2 linked regions of the Drosophila melanogaster genome follow. The gene in region 2 interacts genetically with the main gene of each other region. Each region holds a gene or a part of one and is shown on either strand. Other genes may lie near its edges. The genes, in order: Oatp30B and nolo.

Evidence for each region.
Region 1: of nolo (region 2) and Oatp30B, changing one enhances a phenotype caused by changing the other (phenotypic enhancement), as found in Drosophila melanogaster (one study listed by BioGRID).

What each region holds. Positions count from the first base shown.
Region 1 is NT_033779.5:9,516,333-9,526,406, forward strand, and holds the start of Oatp30B (organic anion transporting polypeptide 30B), read left to right. Parts: upstream 1-4,877; 5' UTR 4,878-5,163; intron 5,164-6,830; 5' UTR 6,831-7,011; intron 7,012-10,074. Other genes in the region: CG33298 (uncharacterized protein), read left to right, coding at 1-730, 798-1,129, 1,199-1,571, 1,660-1,827, 1,887-2,226, 2,291-2,476, 2,544-2,744, 2,815-3,002 and 2 more.
Region 2 is NT_033779.5:21,679,993-21,689,883, reverse strand, and holds the start of nolo (no long nerve cord), read right to left. Parts: upstream 5,779-9,891; 5' UTR 5,545-5,778; intron 5,339-5,544; 5' UTR 4,973-5,338; intron 1,411-4,972; 5' UTR 1,386-1,410; coding exon 1,332-1,385; intron 1-1,331. Other genes in the region: eEF2 (eukaryotic translation elongation factor 2), read left to right, coding at 7,843-7,845, 8,326-8,540, 8,600-9,127, 9,704-9,891.

The sequences.
Region 1 (10,074 bases), about 12 Mb from region 2:
CAGGTACTCTCACAGAGAACAAGATGATCTTTCGACGATGCGTTGTCAATGGATCGGATTACAATCATCCGCCATCGGAGCTTGAAAAGATATACTCTAAGCCAGGCGCACCAGCGCCACCACTGATTCCGAATGATAATCTAAATAGCGACATGGCACAACTTACACAAGGAACATATCTCACACCTCATGCGCAGCGCATTCAAGAATTTCTCGTGGTACTGGCCATCTGCAACACGGTTATCGTGGGTGCCGCCCCTCATCGAGATATGATGAATGCCAGTGGGATTATCGAAGTGCAGCAAATAGGAAACAGTCCGGCGAATCTTAAGCACGGCAAGCAGCGACAGAAGCTGCTGGCCAGTAGCACAAGTACGACCACGACGACGACTATAATAAATGGACCTACGACACAGCCGCAGGTAGTGTCCATTCCAGCGGATCGTTATATCAGGCTGGCTGAGTCACGATCGGTGACTCCTTCTCCACCTCCCAATCTGCTTTTTGCGTTGCCGGCTCAGAGCCATCAGCCAACGCTTTCGCCTATCAGCAGCTCTGCTGAATCGTCACCGAATTCCGAGTCTGAATCACCATCACCGCCGATGAAAAACAAGTCCCTTTCCAACAGTATTTCGCCCACCGGCAGGGCCAAGGCAGTCATTAACTCCAAGATTACCAGTATAGCAACCTTTCTGAATGCCAAAACTCAGGGAAAGCGAATGAAGTTGCCGTAAGTTTCATTAATTATTGATTTTTTCAAAAGATAAATCTTAATTTTTTGCCATTTTTATTTCCAGTTCATCCAAAACGGGAACGATTTACAGAACCGCCGATGGGCGACCGCTCTACGAAGCCGAGAGTCCTGATGAGTTGGCCCTCGTGAATGCAGCCTATAGCTATGATTGCTGCCTACTTAATCGCAGTCCCAATCAGATTTTGGTCAGCATGCCAATGGCGGGAGCCACAAGAGAGTACGAGATACTCAAGGTGCTGCCCTTTGATTCCAGTCGCAAGTGCATGTCAATTGTGGTTCGACAGATTGGCAGTCAGGAGATTGTGCTGTACACCAAGGGCGCAGATAGCTCTATCATGCCCGTCTTGGTGCCTTGCTCGCATAACAGTCCCGAAGGTGAGTGGCACATGCATTATATACTTCATAGTGTTTCGATAATAAATGACCGATTTGATTGATTTTTAGGCATATTGCGAGAACAGACCCAGCAACTGCTAGATCGGTATGCCCGCGAAGGTTTGCGCATCCTAGTAATGGCCAAACGGACTCTGAACTCTGCCGACTATACGGATTGGTGGGCGCGGCATCAGGAAATCGAGATGTCGTTGGAGAACCGCGAACGAAGATTACGTGATTCATTCGCGAAGCTGGAAAGCAATCTGACTCTGTTGGGAGCAACAGGCATCGAAGATCGCCTACAGGATGGAGTGCCGGAGACGATAGCCTCGCTTCTCTCCGCGGGGATTTCAGTTTGGGTTCTGACTGGTGACAAGCCCGAAACGGCCATAAATATTGCCTACTCTGCAAAGCTATTTACCCAGCAAATGGAGCTCATAAGGCAAGCAAAATTATAAATTAAGAGTGCTTCCACAATGCCTTTAATTTTTACGTTGAAGTATCTAATTGTAATTCCTGCGTCGTTTTAGGTTAACAGCACGATCCCGCGATGCTGCTGAAACAGCCATAAATTTCTATCTGACTGATATGGAGAATGACAAGACAACATCCACGTTAGGCTATGGCCAGTCGTTAAGAAAGAAACAACGCGCATTGGTAGTGGATGGAAAGACCTTAACATTTATCCTTGATCCAAAGTGAGTTAGACACAAAGTGTGTTTTTATCCTCTTATTTAATTGCATTACCAATTTACAGATCCAAACTAATCCTGCCTTTTCTGCGGCTGTCTAAGCGGTGCGCTTCGGTACTCTGCTGCCGATCCACTCCGCTGCAAAAGGCCTACCTAGTCAAAGTGGTTAAGGAGGAGCTCAATCTGCGAACCCTGGCCATCGGGGATGGCGCCAACGATGTGTCCATGATCCAGATGGCAGACGTGGGCGTTGGAATCTCTGGTCAAGAAGGCATGCAGGCCGTCATGGCCGCCGATTTCACATTACCCCGCTTTCGTTACTTGGAGCGCCTACTCTTGGCGCACGGCTATTGGTGCTACGATCGATTGTCCCGCATGATTTTATACTTTTTCTATAAGAATGCTGTAAGTTTAAGATCTGATAAGATAATAAGGAAACTTTAAATCCTACAATAATCCTTTGTTCCAGGCCTTTGTCTTTCTGATATTCTGGTACCAGTTGTACTGTGGATTTTCTGGCCAAGTGATGATGGATCAGATGTACTTGATGCTGTATAATTTAATATTCACCTCGCTGCCACCATTGGCCATTGGAGTGTACGACAAGCGTGTGGCCGAAGATCTCCTGCTAAAAAATCCATATCTCTATAAAAATGTGAGTTAAGAAGCAAGTTGTATGCATAATCTATATGATTAATTATTGTGAATCCATTCGTTTTCAGGGTCGACTGGGCGTAGCTTATAGACCACACGACTTTTGGCTAATACTACTGGATGCCCTCTATCAGAGCCTGGTCATATTCTTCGTGGCGCTGTGCGCCTATGCGGAGAGTGATGTAGGAATCTGGGAGTTTGGTACGACGATAACGGCATCCTGTCTCTTCGCCAACCTCGTACACTGTGCCATTGAAATACGTTCCTGGGTGAGAGTTTATTCAACAAGGTTAATAAATTCTATGCATGCTTATTAAATTTTCGTATTTTCCCTTTCAGACTGTGCTGCATGTCTTATCCATAGTGCTTAGTCTAGGTTCCTTCTACCTCTTTGCGATCGTTTACGATTCTGTGTGCATGAATTGCTTCGGAGTCCGGTCGTCATACTGGGTCATCTTTGTGTGCTTTGCCTCCGCTGTTCACTGGCTAGTGATAATGCTCTCCACAGTGGTGGCAGTTCTGCCACGGTTAGTATGAAAATATATTTCGATTTTAAACGTTTAATTAATTTTTATTATTTTTACAGCCTGCTCCTAACAACAGTGCGCATTTCGTTGTGTCCCGACGACAGCACCAAAGTTATTCTGCAAAGCAAACGGGAGCGCAGCAGAGGTGAGGCTTTGTTAGTTACTTGGTCGCGCTCCACGTCAGCCTCATCAATCTATAGGTAAAAAGGCACAAAATACTTGATCTGCAAGCAAGTTGCAACTTTTTCATTTGCACGATTTGAGTATACCCTTTTGAGCATGTATTAGTTTGTTTTGATTTTGTGTCTTTTTATTTCTACATTGTTGCGCAATTCTTTAATGCAATTCGTATTTAATACAACAAAAAATTGATGCCGTCTTACAGAATCACCGATTATGGGTCTAAGAATCAGATTATAACAACGATTACCTGATTAAGCGCCAAAATGCAATTCTTCGGCTATCTCAGCGGCAACTAAAATAAGGAAGACGACTAGCAACCCCCAAAACTTGTACACATGTGCTTTCGCTCTTAATATGTGGCCTTCGACACCGATTATTGATAATATTGCGTTAGTTTAGTTAATCCACTTATCTTAAAAGTACTTAGTAAGCAATTCAAATAATTTGTTTAGCGAATGATTGAGTAAGCGCTTAGATTTCCGAGTTATCTATCTGAATATTAGTTAAACTGTTTGCCTTAACACTAGAATGAAAGCAATTGCACAATTGCATGTATGTCATAGTTTACATATTTATTTGTATAAAACTAGGGAGCCAGAAGTGCTCGAGAATTGAACCCAACCTAACCGACTATTGTTAAATAGAAGCGAAAATGCAATGCTTATTTATGTGTACGATTATTTAAACTAGCGACTAATAGATGTATCACCCTAACAGAAATACTTGACAATTCAAACACAACAGAACTCCATTGCGAGTTCGATGATAAGGCTGTGATTCTACACTCATGAAGGATATACCTAAGCATATGATATATATATACATACACAAACCTATAGACCTTAGATGTTAGTTGCATTGATTCAAGTATTGACAGAATTGTTTCTCACCTTCTGTTTCTTAGTTTGTTGTGTAAACAAGAACATTTTTTACTTTTTTATTGAGACCATGCAATGACAAGTTGTAATAATCGATTGTTGTAATCTATTAGTTGTACTAAACCAATTAATCTACTTGTAGTCCTCTTCAAAAAGAATACAATAAGATAAACTCTAAATGCAATTCGAAATTAACTGGGTTTGTTAAGAGAATGAATACCAGAGAGCAAAAATTGTTAGCTGAATATTTACATTGTTGAAAAGCAAGAAATCATTAAATGAAATAAATGTATATTTACCTACAAAAAAAAAACCGTAAAAATGTGTTTATTTAATGAGTTACATTTATGAACAAATTGTATTGATTGGAACATTCGGTGATCTAAGGAATTATATCAACGAATCTCAGCATTGCCTAAATTCGGAATGTTTTCCTTTTAACCATATATATATCTTGATAAACATTATGTATTTCTACAAGCATTTAAAAAATGGAATCTACATGTGTATATGTTTTAGGCTGTCGAATTATGTGGGTTTGTGCATCCACTATATGTCAAAAACAAGGTTTGAGTATAGGCTAAATCCGGAACAGTGATGAGAAAGAGAAAAGCCACAACGTTGTCTTATAAAAAATTATTGTTTTTCGCTGTAACATTTTATATTATAAATGTCGTTCTAATTTTGATCTTCCCTTTATATTAAATACATTGTGAATTCCACAAAAATTACAAAGTAGACTTGAAATAACGATATATCGACAGTTGTGCCATCCCTAGAACAATCGCTCTCTGTCTTTTCCCCATTCATTTTATCACCATTCGCCTTTTGAAATCCGAATTCGACGGATGGTAAAATTTTGAGCCGTTGAGATTGAACCGAACGAATTCGCGTCGAAGTGATTGAGCCACCTTTTTTGTTGCTTTCTCATGGCAGCCAAACGAAGAAGTGTTGAATTGATTTTGTGATACTTTCTCGACAGCATCGCTCCGGCGGGCAAGTGCGTGTGTGGGTGTGATCAAACATAAATAACGTGCAATTACGGGTCAGTAACCCAAACAAAGTGATAAGAGCGCAAGAGGTCCTTGATGAATACGAGTGTAAGGAGTGATAAAATAAAATCTCCTATTTGCCCTGCATGCGTGTGTGTGGGTGCTTCTCACCTGTTTGTATGTTTGTGTGTGTGCGGACATCTGTTCTGTCTCGTCTTCTTATGTTGCCGTCCGTGGCTCTGTCTCCCCATCTTCCTCCGTCCCTTTTCGACCAGACTCGTCTCGTCTCGCTCTACATAGCCACCAGGTAACGGTGTGTGTGGGGGATTACAGGGTTGCTCTCTCTCTCTCTCTTTCTCCATCTCTCTCTGCGTGGTAAACGTTTTGTTGTTCTTTCATAATGCAACAATAAATTATCCAATCGTGCCGCAAAAAAAATTTTTTTTGTAGATGAAAAAAATCATCGAAATTATATTTACATACATATGTATGAATGTTTATCCTTTTTCTGTAGACCAAATGCAATTTTATAATTTCGCAAAAACACTAAACAAATTTTCAATGTTCGAAGAGCAATTCAATGTCAGGAAAAATTAGTGTGAGAATGACAAAGACGATGGAATAGTTTTCTTTTCAGGGAGAGACCTGTTTTCCTTTTAAAGCACTTGTTACAGATTCCCTTTTTCCCCTCCCCCAATTTTTGTATCCCTTGCTCCCCCACTGAGTTTTCCTTTGTGGCGTTTTCTCGTGTTTTCTTCGTTGTTGCCTTTCAATTGATTTATTTTTGCATAATCGTTCATTGCCAGACCAAAGCAACTCATAAGCAAGAAAAAAAATATAAAAACGCACGCTAAGTACAATTGACACATGTGTTCAAGTATAGATATAGGTACAAATGTTGGTATATATAGTACTCACATAGTACGCACATTTTTACATTTATATGTACTATATGAGCGCAGATAGATGGTGGTATTTTTGAGTAATTTACAGTCATGCTAATCGCAAAATCATATTCCAATTGGAAGCCGATTCTAAGATATTTGTACTTCTACTCTCCGAGAATGATGCAGTACCTTCGAAATTAACTGTTGACCACCCGAAATTTGGTTAAAAAAAACTGGTTTTCCTATCTCAACTCGCTGGATATCTCACAGCTCTTCTAAAATAGAGTGTGACACGTTCGAATATACATATATTCAGTTAAATTATTAAATTAAATTAGTACTAATTTCATTTTAGCTAGCACTAAAGAAGTAAGAACACCGTGTTGCAAAATAATATAAAAACATTCACTTGTCCGTTTTTAATAACAATCAGACAGGTGTTCAGCTTTGTTTTTATCCGATTTTTCCTGCATTTACACACCTCAATGTGTGATCCCAATATTCGTATGTATGTCTGGTTTCATTTCTTGCGCTTGGCTGGCGCTGACGTTTCATCTCTTTCTGTTGCCCATCGTCCCTCTCACGCTCCCTTTTGCTGTTGGTAGCCCCAATTAGCTGGGTTTTCTTGCCAAATCTCAGCACGTAACAAAAGCAGGCGGGTAAAACACCAACATTGGGGTATAAACATAATCGGGTGATCGCGTTACGCTCTCTTTCTAACGGTGTTTGAGCTGGACTCTCTCAATCAAGCAAACGTAAACCGGTTAAAGCAACGTCTTATTGAAACTCTCGCTCTCTCTTGAGAGAGAGAGAGAGAGGGAGAGAAACAGATAAATCGCGCGATTGTTATTCTTCAATAAGTAAACGAAATTATCCAATAATTTTCAGCAAAACAAATATGTGCAATTTTAATGCGAAATAATTAGAGGGGAATCTCTTCGATTTGTGTGTGTTTACAAATAAATCAGCAAATGAATGTGCGAAATAATCTCAACGAACAGTCAAATTGAATGAAAAGTCGTCGGGAAATTTGAAGGCAAGGAGGAAACGCAAGGAAAGCAAACTGAAGGTGAGTCCTCACGAAAGTATTTGTTTTGATTTTGCAATTGTTTCGCTCGTTTTGACAACTTGTCAACGGGTTTTGCCAACTTCCCACACACATGGCCTATGAAATCAAGTTGTTGTTGGCATTGCAAATAGGCCGAATGACCAGATATTTATTACGTGACTTCTTTTTCGCCCAAAACCACTGGAACTTAACTGCCAATGGTGACGAAAATTGAAATCGAATCGACGAGTGTGTCACACAATATCAATCAAAGTCGCTGAAACAAAGCTTCAGCAGCTGAAACTGCAGTTCGATATAATGGAATGTTGAGTGCGGCGATGGGATAACTTTTCCGAACGTCGGAAAATCGACGGTGGGAAAATCGATTGCAAAGTCGGCGATTGGCAGGACTTAAGGGCTTCCTAACAGTAAAACTTTGCCCACGAGGGCATTCAACCTAAGCCGAAAATCAGGACCTTCGATCCCATTCCATTCGATTTGTGACACGATTTGTATGTTTTTTTTTGTGTAAGAGGTTACTTGTTGGTATGTTGTATGCCATAAAGTTAGTAAGCACTTTATTGCATTTAATAATAATTTATCAGATTCGCTTAACTATCTGTTTTTTGTATTTGTTTTAGTACGATTTAACAAATAATTTATACGATGCATTCAGCAGCTGCTGCCTTTGTGTGTTTTCCAAAGTCGTTAAAACTTTTCATATTGTTTCCCAATTCCTCGTCTATATCGCTTAATTCGTTTATACCAACATTCAATTCGCCATGCATTTGGTTTTATGCCCATTTGGATGAATGTATCTTTGTATCTTCGCCAGTGAAATGTTTTCGTCTTAAGCTTCGATTGCTTTGGCTTTTGTACAAGCGCTGAATGAGTTTTCACATATCGTCTAATTACGGCTTTAACCGAGCACTGGGTATAATTTCATTTAAAAGTCATTGGCGTAAATTTTTTCATAATCTGAAAGCTACGCGAGGCGTTGTTACATCATTAGGTACTTGAAAATTGATTAATTTTGTGTGAGACGGCGCAGATGAAGGGAATGGATAGTTCTGCAATTAAAAGGGAACGAAAATATCAATTAACTTTTTACACAACGTCGGCAGAAAACTTGAAGAAGTTGAGACGGAATGTTTACTTGGGCAAACTGTGAAAAGTGGAAAATTCCCCCCAATATGGTCGTTTTTGTTTACCGAGGGCACTTAAATGTTCTTTTCAAAGTAGCAATTAAAAAGTCGTAAAAAACGAACACACAAAGTACCCCAGAAATATTTGCAAAAAGTATACAGCTCAGCTATTTGTCCAGATGTTTACAGATTTGGTAAAGTACCTAAATAATATAATAGTTTTTTTTGGGAAACTGCACCATTTGGAGGAAGGAGTCATGCCAACTGAATCAAGTTTTTTAGGGTAACTAGACAAAAAACGCACGAAATTTCTCATTGACTCTTGTTTTCATTTCTCATTCTCAGGCGGAGAAAGCGGTTTTTTTTTTTTTAAACAATGCCAGTAAAAACAACGGCGATCAGAAATTATACAAATTTCGGTTGTATGGCGTCGTCGAGCAGAATAACAACAATGATAACCATTTTAGTAAATTCACCAAAAGTCGGTAAGAGAAAAGGCCCATCACAACGAAACTGGTGTTTTTTGTTTTTTTGTACGTTAGTTTTTTCTTCCTCGACTGCTCACAAATTGCGTTGAACAGAGATTTAGGGCCACCCATCCATTCATTCATTCATTCATTCATTCGTTCACCGACTCGTTCACCTATTTGTTTTATTTTTCGTGTGTATTTTTCAACTTTTCCTGTTGTAATTTTTTGATTGGTCTCACTGTGTCGCATGTTGGCGTTTTTAGGTCGGTTCCAATCTATGTGTGTGTGTATTTTTTTCGCCCTGCCTGCACACGCAAATTAAAGTTTACCCTAAATATATATGACTTTCCACTTTTCCCGATTTTTTATTTTCATTTCAAAACAATGGCAATTAAAGTTTCCATTTTGATTTAAGCATTTTTGGTGCTCCCTATCTATGCGATTTGAATTTAAATGTTGGCCTGAGCTATGTTTACTTTCTTTTTTATTTATAAATTCGAACCTGGATTTTTTTTTTGTTGGTAGCTTCTTAGCCGAATTTAATGAGCTGCTTTGGTGCAGTCATACATATTCACGAATCAAAAGCTATGCTAAAAGCTATGTTCCCATTTCTTTGTTAGACTCTTCTAAAGATTACTCCCATCCCATAGTTTCTTGGGTCGATGTTCGCCTTTAGATAATCCCGCCCTCTAGATTAAGTCCCGCCGTGAAGAAGTTATACAAACTGGCAGAAAAACAAACAAACAAGCGAGAATGTAAGGCCCTTTTCGGAAAAGTGATGCTGGGCGGTTTAGGGCGAGCCTAATATAATCCGATCTATCCCATCTGAAAACGTTTTTGATCTGAGGAGAGGTGGCACATACGTACATATGTACATATGTATGTACCATTCATGTGTGCTCTGTTGATTTGTCTTCATTATCAGCTCGTTGACTGTTTGCTTCTGATTCTCGGGTAAACATAGAGCAGACGACGTGGCCGTGATTGTTTGTAGTGTTTGCTTTTTTGTGGTAAAACTTATTTTTAATCTTCGAGCATACAGCGCGTTGCCAAGTCGCTCCTCCTACGGCATTTTCTGCCCTCCACTCTGTTACACCCCCCCGGAAACCACCATGGCGTATGAGTTATTTTCGTTTGTTCGATGGTCTCAAGTCGATCGGACGCTTTGCACATTTTATGAATGCCTTTGACATTCACACAGTAGTCCCCTTTCCAATAAATTACGATAGATACAACACACTTTTATCATATTTGGACTTTGATGGCAGTGGTTACTCATTCCTTGACAGAAAATCAATATAATAAGCTTTTATTTTGCTTATTTGTATTATCTTTAAGACTGAAATGTAAGATGTTTCTAAAAATAAAATACATGCAGTTTATTCCAACAAAAGTAGTCTACTATATATGTAGTCATATAAGGATGGGCATATTTTATTCAGGCACTGCAGCGTGTTTATCTCAGATAT
Region 2 (9,891 bases):
TTATATATATATTCGCAACCCTTAGACCTATACATAGAGAATGCTATAGTCGAGTTCCCCCACTATCAGATACCCGTTACTCAGCTAGTGTATATGATATGAAGGATATCGATAGATATTGGCAAATAAAATGAGAAAAAAATTAAAAATTGTTCAAACCGGATCAATCCGTCGTGACCGGTTTGGCGGCTTTAGGGCGTTAGAGTGGGCGTGGCCAAAAAATTTTTTTTGTTAATCGATAGAAATTTACAGGACTAATAAAAATGTGAAGAAATATCAACATACATATTTTTCAAAAATGTGGGCGAGGCAGTTTTGTGCGGTTGTGGGCGTGGCAGTTTTGTGCGGTTGTGGGACACATGGTTCAACGAACTTGCGTTGCGTCTTTGTCTCTAGAATATGTATGCTTAATCTCAACCTTCTAGCTTTTATAGTTCCTTAGATATCGACGTTCATACGGACAGACGGACATGGCTAGATCGACTCGGCTATTGATCCTGATCAAAAATTATATGGTCGGAAACGCTTCCTTCTGACTGTTACATACTTTTCAACGATTCTAGTATACCCTTTTACTCTACGAGTAACGGGTAAAACAACTTACTTTTACATGAAGGTGGGAGCTTATCATGAAACATATACGACACCGAAGTGGTTGATGTTTCGACTTCACGAAATCCGTAACAAAATGTGTCAGGACCAGCATAAATCGAAGAAGAAACGAAAGACTGCCAAGTTTTAGACAGCTTGTGGCCGTGTCCAAAATTATTTTTTTTTTCAATCTGATCTTTATGGGGTAGAAAAGGCGCTTTTTCCGAGTAATAGCTTTAAAAGTTAATATTCTACTAACTCTTCAGTTCTTAATTTATAATAATTAATAAGGAAAAAAAGGGGATTTTTTGAATGATACAACCAGACGATGCACTTCACCATTGCAATGCATTGACTTGATTTGATAGTTCACTTAGTTCAATATAGTTGTAAACTCTTTATTATTTATTATTATTATTATGTATAAGTGTTTTTCACATAAATTGAATAAATAATATTAATTTTCAATGACAGCATTGTATGAAATAAATTCATAACATTTTTTTTTTGTGAAGCACCTTCAAGAAAATTTAAAAAATCACCGATTGAACTAAATGAACGACCTAGTTCGACATAATACTTTTTGAATGCAAAATATGGATTTCTGATATTTTCAGCACCTAATTACTAATAAGTCCTCAAGGTTACAAATATTGCACTAATATATATTTGTAATATTGTGGAATATTTAAATTACCATTAAAGTTTTTCAGTTAACTTATTCAACAAATTGTTCTTACCACAAACAAAGCGGCCCATATTTTTGGAGACGTCCAGTTCATGTTCACCGACATTTTTGTCTCGTAATCATGTTTTCTTCTGCAACAAAGTATAAGTACAATTATTTCAAAATATAGACATGTACATCACTAAATATATACACATTTTTTGCTGGTCAAATTTGTTAACATAATCCCAAGGCCCTATCCCGAAAACGGCCTTAAATAATTATTAAGTAAAACGACACCTTCTAATCTAAACAAGAATTAAATAAGCTCCAACATGAGGTACATTTCATTGATGGACTCGGCTGGACTTACTTTAAATCCCTTTTGAATGTTGGATATTACAACTAATGTAAGGGGGAAAAACTTGACGTATGGATTTACAAACATGGCTAGATCGACTAGACTTTTGATGATGATTAGAAAGATATATACTATATAGGGTCGGAAACGCTTCATTTGACCTGATACATACTTTTCAACGATGCCCGGTTGCCCTTTTACTCAACGAGTAACTGTTATAATTACAACAATAATTATAAAAATTTAAACTCAAATAATTCAAATATTTCTGGGCTTTTTTCGGAAGCCTGAGAAGAAAACGATGTTGAAGGATATTCTCCTGTGCGATAACCGCTTCAACTGTAATTGCTTTTATCATATGCTTCCGTTGTTAATTCCCATTAATTATAAACTGTGACAATCTCTGCTCGCCGCATTGCAGTTTGCAGTCCCTGTAGAGGGTACGTATGTTCGTTTAGAGAACAACCATGTGAGAACTATAAATTCAATAAGCAAGCATCAACGGGGGACACGTGAAAGTCAAAATAAGGTTAGACAATAAAAAATGAAGAAGTTTCTTTTTCGATTCAAAGCACATATGCATGTACATATATGAGTTTATATAGGTAATAATGTTTGCCTAACGACAGAAATACGACACAAGACACGCTTTTTACAGAGCAAAAAGATAGCAGTAACTTTTCACTAACAGCCAAAACTTTTTGGTTTCAGCTAGCAACGCCTTCTAGATGTAACTATTAATGACATATGCAATATAAATAATAAGTGCATGTGATTCGCTATAAATTATTACTTGCTACTAAATATTTTGTGAGTTATTTAAAGTAAAGGCACCCGAACACAATTTCAAAGGTCAATTTGTAAACAGTTGTTAGTCATTTGACCCATAAATCCAATAAAAGCCAGATTTCTATAATTCTATAATCAAGCGATACAGTTTTATTTGTTTTTTAATCAGATTTTCTAACTAAAAGCTAGATCGACTACCAAAAAATAGATCAATTCACAGTCGCCGATATCTGGAGCCTAGCCGTACCCAGTCTTTTTCACATCCTCGCTCCTTGAGTGACGTATAGGGATTTGTCACTCCACAGGCACTCTCCAATTGCAATGGACCCACACCGAAGACAGCAGATGCTGCAAGTATCATGACCGAAATAAGCTTCAACACTTATACAGGGTGCGGCAGCATAATATTATTTCTTCAGAACTCATTGAATACTATTTTAGGCATCGGAAAATATTTATGAGATAAAGCGCTCTGGAAAGTGTTCCGTCAAAATAAGTTACGTTCTGAAAGTTCCTGCACTATCGCCATCTTATACGGATGAAAATGAAGATCATCATGAAGAATTCTTCTCACAGAACGATCGGATAGTCCAAAGGCAGATCCGTGTTTGGACGCAGAACGCCGTGGGGATTGCAATATTGACGCTCGTACTGCTTCAATGTTCTTAGGCGATCTAACGGGTCGAGGGATTCCAGTTCATCGTTTTGTCGCACTTGCAGTTTGCCTGAATGTAGTGACCCATGAAACAATTGATTTGCGGTCTGGGACGTGAGCCAACGGAGCTAAATTAAAGCGATACCGAAATGCACGCTGTGCTTCCCGCCGTGCGGGAAAAACTTTGCAGTAACCCCTCTTGAATGGGACCACTATCGCTCCGCTATGACATCAATTAACTGAATAGCGTGCATTTTAAAAAAAGGAAGTTATGTTGCCGCACCCTGTATCTTCAGCAGCAAGATTGTTTCGCGATGGTACAGCCGAATGGACCAACGTACAAAATATAATGTGTTCATTCGGGTTATAATACCTCCTGCTTTCTAGCAAAATGGTGCTGACAGTTTGGAAGCAAGAATTTAACGAAAAAAAAGCAAGAGAGAAAATCTGTCCGTATGAATATCGAAATCTCAGGAACTATAAAATCTTGAAGGTTTAGATTAAGCATACGGATTCCAGAGACAAAGACGCTGCCCAAGTTTGTTTGCTCATGTTTCCACTCCCACTCTAACGTCCAGAAATAGCACAAAACTGCCACACCCGCACTTTAAAAAAAATTGTTGATATTTTTCACATTTCTATTAGTTTTGTAAATTTTTATCAATTTGCAAAAAACACACCCACTGTAACGTCCTAAAACCGCTAAGCCGGTCACGCCCATACTTTTGAAGAAATTGTAAATTTTTTCTCATTTTATTCCCCGATATCCCAGAAATTTCGCGTACGCATTCACACTAGCTGAGTAACGGTTATCTGATTGTCGAGGAACTCTACTATAGTATTCTTTCTTGTTTTCAATTTATTAATCTACATCTGCTTGTATACTTGAAGTTGAGTATAGCAGAATTCTTCTTGTAGTTAAATTGTTATACTCATTAAAACTCGCTTTGTCACTTTGAACCTTCTGATAGAAAGCTTTGAGTCCTTCCAATTCCACCTGCCAAGCCCTTCTCAAATTGATAAAGATGTTAAAAAAAAGTTCTGGGTGAAGTGACCACACGGGTACGGGTACGGGCAGGACTTGACGGCAGAATCATATGAACATCCCCCGGTCAAGACGTTTTCCACATTGGCTGAATTTTCATTCATACCTTGGTTTTTTATGCACCCGAACCATACAACCGACAGTCTGTTCGGCACTTTACACTGTCGCTGACTTTTTGCAAACTTTTTCCGCATTACCTTATTCACACTTGTTTTAGCACCCCACGCTCAACAAAAATTGTTCTTGGATGTTTTACAATTTACTTAAAAAGCACGACGACATTGTGTGAGTCGTCGGAACCTTTTTATGCATTTGCCGTTTATTAAGGAACTGTCGACATATGTGAACACTTATGTACATTGCTTGGTTCCCGTGTGCCGAGTTCGGATTGGGCCTATTAAGCTTTTGTGTCTCATTGTGTGCTTTACAAAAATACATTGGGACCGGGCATTTCGTATTCTTATTAAATCTTTATTGGGATTTTGTCCGAAACCTAAAATATGCACTCTTCGACGGTACACATATAAAGTTTCCTATACTTTTGTTGGATGTTATCGGACTTCGTACATGGATTGAGTTCAATTACTAATGGGGGTTGGGATAATAATGTAAAATCTAGCATAACGATCCTTGCTTTCGATAACTCTTAATTTTAGTCTTTAGGACCCAAAAGAAATATTGCATTTTTAAAAGCACTTCGTTCGGCAGTTTTTCTCTCAACTCAAGTCTTTACAATATAGAAGCTTAATCAAGTGGGTCTACCGACCTATGCTTCACAAACCATGCAAGTTATAAGAAAACTGAATAAAAATTAAAAGTTTAGTAGGATTTTTGTATGTAGACAAGTAAAGTTGTCAGACTTACGGCAATCAGAAATTAAATGGCTTGACTCGCTCATCTAATAAAAATCCAAGATCCATTTTCAAGTTTATCGGAAGCTTCCACACTCAAACTAAATTAAAATTTAGATTGACGCAATTGCCACTCGTTGGACAATAAGTATCGTTTTAACTTTTCGTGCGACAAAAACGATGGAACATGCTTTTCCAAAATGATGCATTTGACGGTTTAAGAGTATTTTAGGCTTATTGCTCCTTTTTCTGCGTTGTAGTTTCTAATTATGATTTATATAATAGTTGGTTTGCCTGTCGTTTTTTATAGAGCTTTGTTTATATTACTTTTGGTTTCATATTAAATGTTACATTTTATTGAGTAATTAAAATGTATGTTCTAAGTAAAGAAAAGAAATAAAACATATAATTTTTGTCAGCATAAGTTAATTTTTTATTATTGAAATTATATTATTTCGATCATATATATCATTTCACATATTTTGTAAATTTCTAGTATTATAATTTTTCACTTTGTCGAAAACACAACATAAAGTATACTTTAAATATTTCGGCTCAAATTGGTCGGTAAACGTTTAACTTTACATTTTTTGAGCAAAAGGTGACTGATAATATTTGCAAACGGTTTTAAGTGGATAATCCTAGACCACTTAATCACGTAATTTAACTGAATCTTTTTGAATATTTGTTGCTTTCGCACTACAACAACACCGTCGCGCACAAAGCAATACATCAACTGTGCAACGTGAAAGTCCCCAATCACTGAATTTTCCTTTACCGTTAGCACAGCCCGCGAGCTCGGAAAATCACTTGAAAACTGTTCGCCCGCGTCGTCATCATTTTCATTTGCCGGCCGTCTTCGCGCAGCAACAATGCTGCCGAAACATTAGAACGAGCTTGACTCAAAATGCGAGCAACAATGCTGCAGCAACATTGGAACGAGTGAGTTTTTGAATTCGAGTGAGGTGAGTTCTGGTTGGTGAGGGGTAAGTGAGGTGAGTTCTAGGTGGTGAGGGGTATTGTTTGAGTGATTTTTTTTTAATGTGGAACACAATAATGAGAAAAAGAAAAAGCTCTTTTCTTTCCCGAAAGCTGTTAAATTCAGCAAGAGAGCTATTCTACAGTTTGAAGCAGCTTCACGAACCATTTCTATATTTGATGCGTGGGCACCGGTGGGCAAATATGTACGTGGTTTAATTTTTAAAAATTTATGGAAATTTACAAAACGAATACAAAAATCAACAAATATCAAAACGTTTGTCAAAAGAGAGACAACATGGTACGTGTATGTAAACAAAGCATTATTTTGGGCGGAAAGGTGTTTGGCTATGGTTTAATTAAAAAGTTTTATTCAAAATATACCAATTAGGCGTTCTGTCTTCCCCGGGTTGAAAATATTCAACTGTTGTCCTCCTTTCAATTGACCAATATCTCTAGTTCCTGGTTAGTTTTCCACGTTTTTTAGAAAAAATAAAATATCTGATATAAGCGGGATCGCAAGTGGAGAATAGGGTACAGTAGAGTAGAGTTTCCAAGGCTGCTTTATCAATGATACGAACCTGAACTCAGAGGTGACATGAGGCCGTCTAATTCGAAAGTTTCAAGTGACGCTAGAGCAAAAGGAGAGAAGAGAGAACGCTATAGTAGAGTTCCCTGAGTATCAAACACCCATTACTTATCTAGTGTGAATGCGAACGCCATATTTCATAATTTATAAAATAATTATCTTGTTGTTGGCAAATCGATAGAAATTTACAAGACTAATAAAATTATGAACAAATTTGGAAAAATGGTTAATGGTGCGGTTTTAGGGCGTTAGAGTGGGCATCTCAGCCTTCTAGTTTTTATAGCTCCTGAGATCTCAACGTTCATACGGATAGGCGGACACATGGACATGGCTAGATCGACTCGGCTATTGATCCTGAGCAATATGGTTGGAAACGCTTCCTTCTGCCTGTTACATACCATTCAACGAACAAACGATATCCTTATACTCTACGAGTAGCGGGTATAATGAATACCAAAAACACTTACGCCATGACCTTCCACCGCATTTTTTACAAATTTTGAAACTTCTTGTCGGAAAATTTGACTTTCGGATCTCTTGATTTTTTTCGTTTTATTATTTGTCTGCCAAATTTCTGTCGATATGCCGTGGCGTGACCCACTCTTACACCTACAAACCTCAATAAGTTTTCAAGCCCACAATTCAAACCTTTTTTTAATTCCTACCGCAACGCCAACAAAATTTTTAAATATTTTCCTAGAGAATCGCATTAGCTATGTAATGGGTATCTAATAGTCGTAAAAATCGACGATAGCGTTCTCGCTTGCTATACTTTAAATATTACTGCGTGCGTAGAATTTCGAAATGCCGTTTGATCGAAACTATCATAAGTCGTTAACTTTAAAGGCTCGGCATCTATGAGCAAATGAGAATATAACTAGCTTTCACTTAAAGTTTATTTTTCATAAGATAGTTTAAGCGATAAAGAAATATATATATATAGATTAGATTATTTTTAAGAAAAATAATTTAGAAGAAATTTAAGCGGATGTATGTAAATTAATAATAGTGCTTAGCAATATTTATTTATGGCTATATAAACAACCACGATTTCGACGCGGAAAATTACGTGGAAAATTACGAAAACGTCATTCTGTAAAATAAAAGTTTAAAAACTATAAAGTAAACATGCAAAATAACTATCTGATGAATCTGTCACGTGAACTACTATCGATCAACTACTGGTTCCGACTATCGAAAATATCAAGAATTGTCCCAGCTCTATGGTCGCTGCAGCGCCTCGCTCTTTCCTGTCGAAACGCCGTTGAAAGGCGTAGTGTTTTTTTGGTCCGCGAGAAAATCTCCATACATCCAAAATGGTAGGTGCCCAAAGTCAGAAATAATAGCCCCATATCTACAGAAAAGGCCTAGAGGCGACCTGCATTAATATCTTTAATGCCCAGTGCAAAAAGTGCAGATGTCTCAACCATTACTTGGTGAAATGATGTGTCCACATATTTTCACGTTTGCTTGTTGTGTGTGTGTGCATTATGGTGAAATGCAAGACAAAGACTAGGAATGACGTATGCAATTTTCTATTGAAATTTGGCTAGAATGTGATCCTGTTTGGTGCTTGTTGTGAAATACCCAAGGAATAGATGTATATTGCTATATTTATCGATGCCCATACTCGCGAGTGAGTGATTTGTGGTTTTTAGTTCTTATCTAACCTCAAAGACCTTTGCACGACTGTGAAGACTTAGTGTGTGTATGGACGCCATTTTTAAATCAGCACTGTGTATAGATCGAGTGGAAACTCGTTATAATATGTACATAACGATGCCTTATTTATTTTACAGGTCAACTTCACCGTCGACGAGATCCGTGGCCTCATGGACAAGAAGCGGAACATCCGCAACATGTCTGTGATTGCCCACGTAGACCACGGCAAGTCCACTCTGACCGATTCCCTTGTGTCGAAGGCTGGTATCATTGCCGGAGCCAAGGCTGGTGAGACTCGTTTCACTGACACCCGCAAGGACGAGCAGGAGCGCTGCATTACCATCAAGTCGACGTAAGACCAGTCATGTTCCAGCACCCACGGCTTTTTTAATCCGCCTTTCATTATTGCAGTGCCATTTCCATGTACTTTGAGGTGGAGGAAAAGGATCTGGTGTTCATTACCCACCCCGATCAGCGCGAGAAGGAGTGCAAGGGTTTCCTGATCAACTTGATCGACTCGCCCGGTCACGTTGACTTCTCCTCGGAGGTGACCGCCGCCCTTCGTGTAACCGACGGTGCACTCGTTGTTGTAGACTGCGTCTCCGGAGTTTGTGTCCAGACCGAAACCGTGCTGCGTCAGGCCATCGCTGAGCGTATTAAGCCCATCCTATTCATGAACAAAATGGACCGCGCTCTGCTTGAGCTGCAACTAGATGCCGAGGAGCTGTACCAGACCTTCCAGCGCATCGTCGAGAACGTAAACGTTATCATTGCCACCTATAACGATGACGGAGGACCGATGGGTGAGGTTCGCGTGGATCCCTCTAAGGGATCAGTGGGCTTCGGTTCTGGGCTTCACGGCTGGGCGTTCACCCTCAAGCAGTTCTCTGAGATGTACTCCGAGAAATTCAAGATTGATGTTGTCAAGCTAATGAACCGGTGAGTCATGTCTCAAGTTTGTTTGTAAATGTTTTCAAACTTCTACCACAAAACGTGTGGCGCTTAGCGGGCGGCTTCTTGAAAGACATCTCCGCAAGGAAAGTCCTTTTAGAGTCTCTCGTGCTGACGGCGCCACAAGTGGACCTTAAATAGAAGAAGAATAAACTTTCGGATGCTGTTTAAACGCTGACTCGGGACCGCTTTCCTAATGTTCAAACGAGTCATGTTAAGGCAGTTACCTTACACTAATTATTTTTAAATTGTATACAGAAATCTTTTATTGTTCACATAATTTCTTCATATATCTGAAATCAATTGTTGTTTGGCCTCATATTATACAAATCGATATATTCGGACGTCATTTTTGATATCTAAGACTTAAAATTTATAAATCAAATTTGCAACAAATTTATTGGCTGAAATGAATCATTTTGTATTATACAAAATTTCCAGAAAAATAATATTAATTATTTTTTTAAATAAGCGATTTGAACTGGTCATTAAGCATTTCATTAAGTGATAAGTAGTTAATAAGAAATATCTGAAGGCACAATTAATCGTTCAACTTCTTCACAGATTGTGGGGTGAAAACTTCTTTAACGCCAAGACCAAGAAATGGCAGAAACAGAAAGAGGCTGACAACAAACGCTCGTTCTGCATGTACATCCTGGACCCCATCTACAAGGTGTTCGATGCCATTATGAATTACAAGAAGGAGGAGATAGGTACCTTGCTCGAGAAAATCGGTGTGACTCTGAAGCATG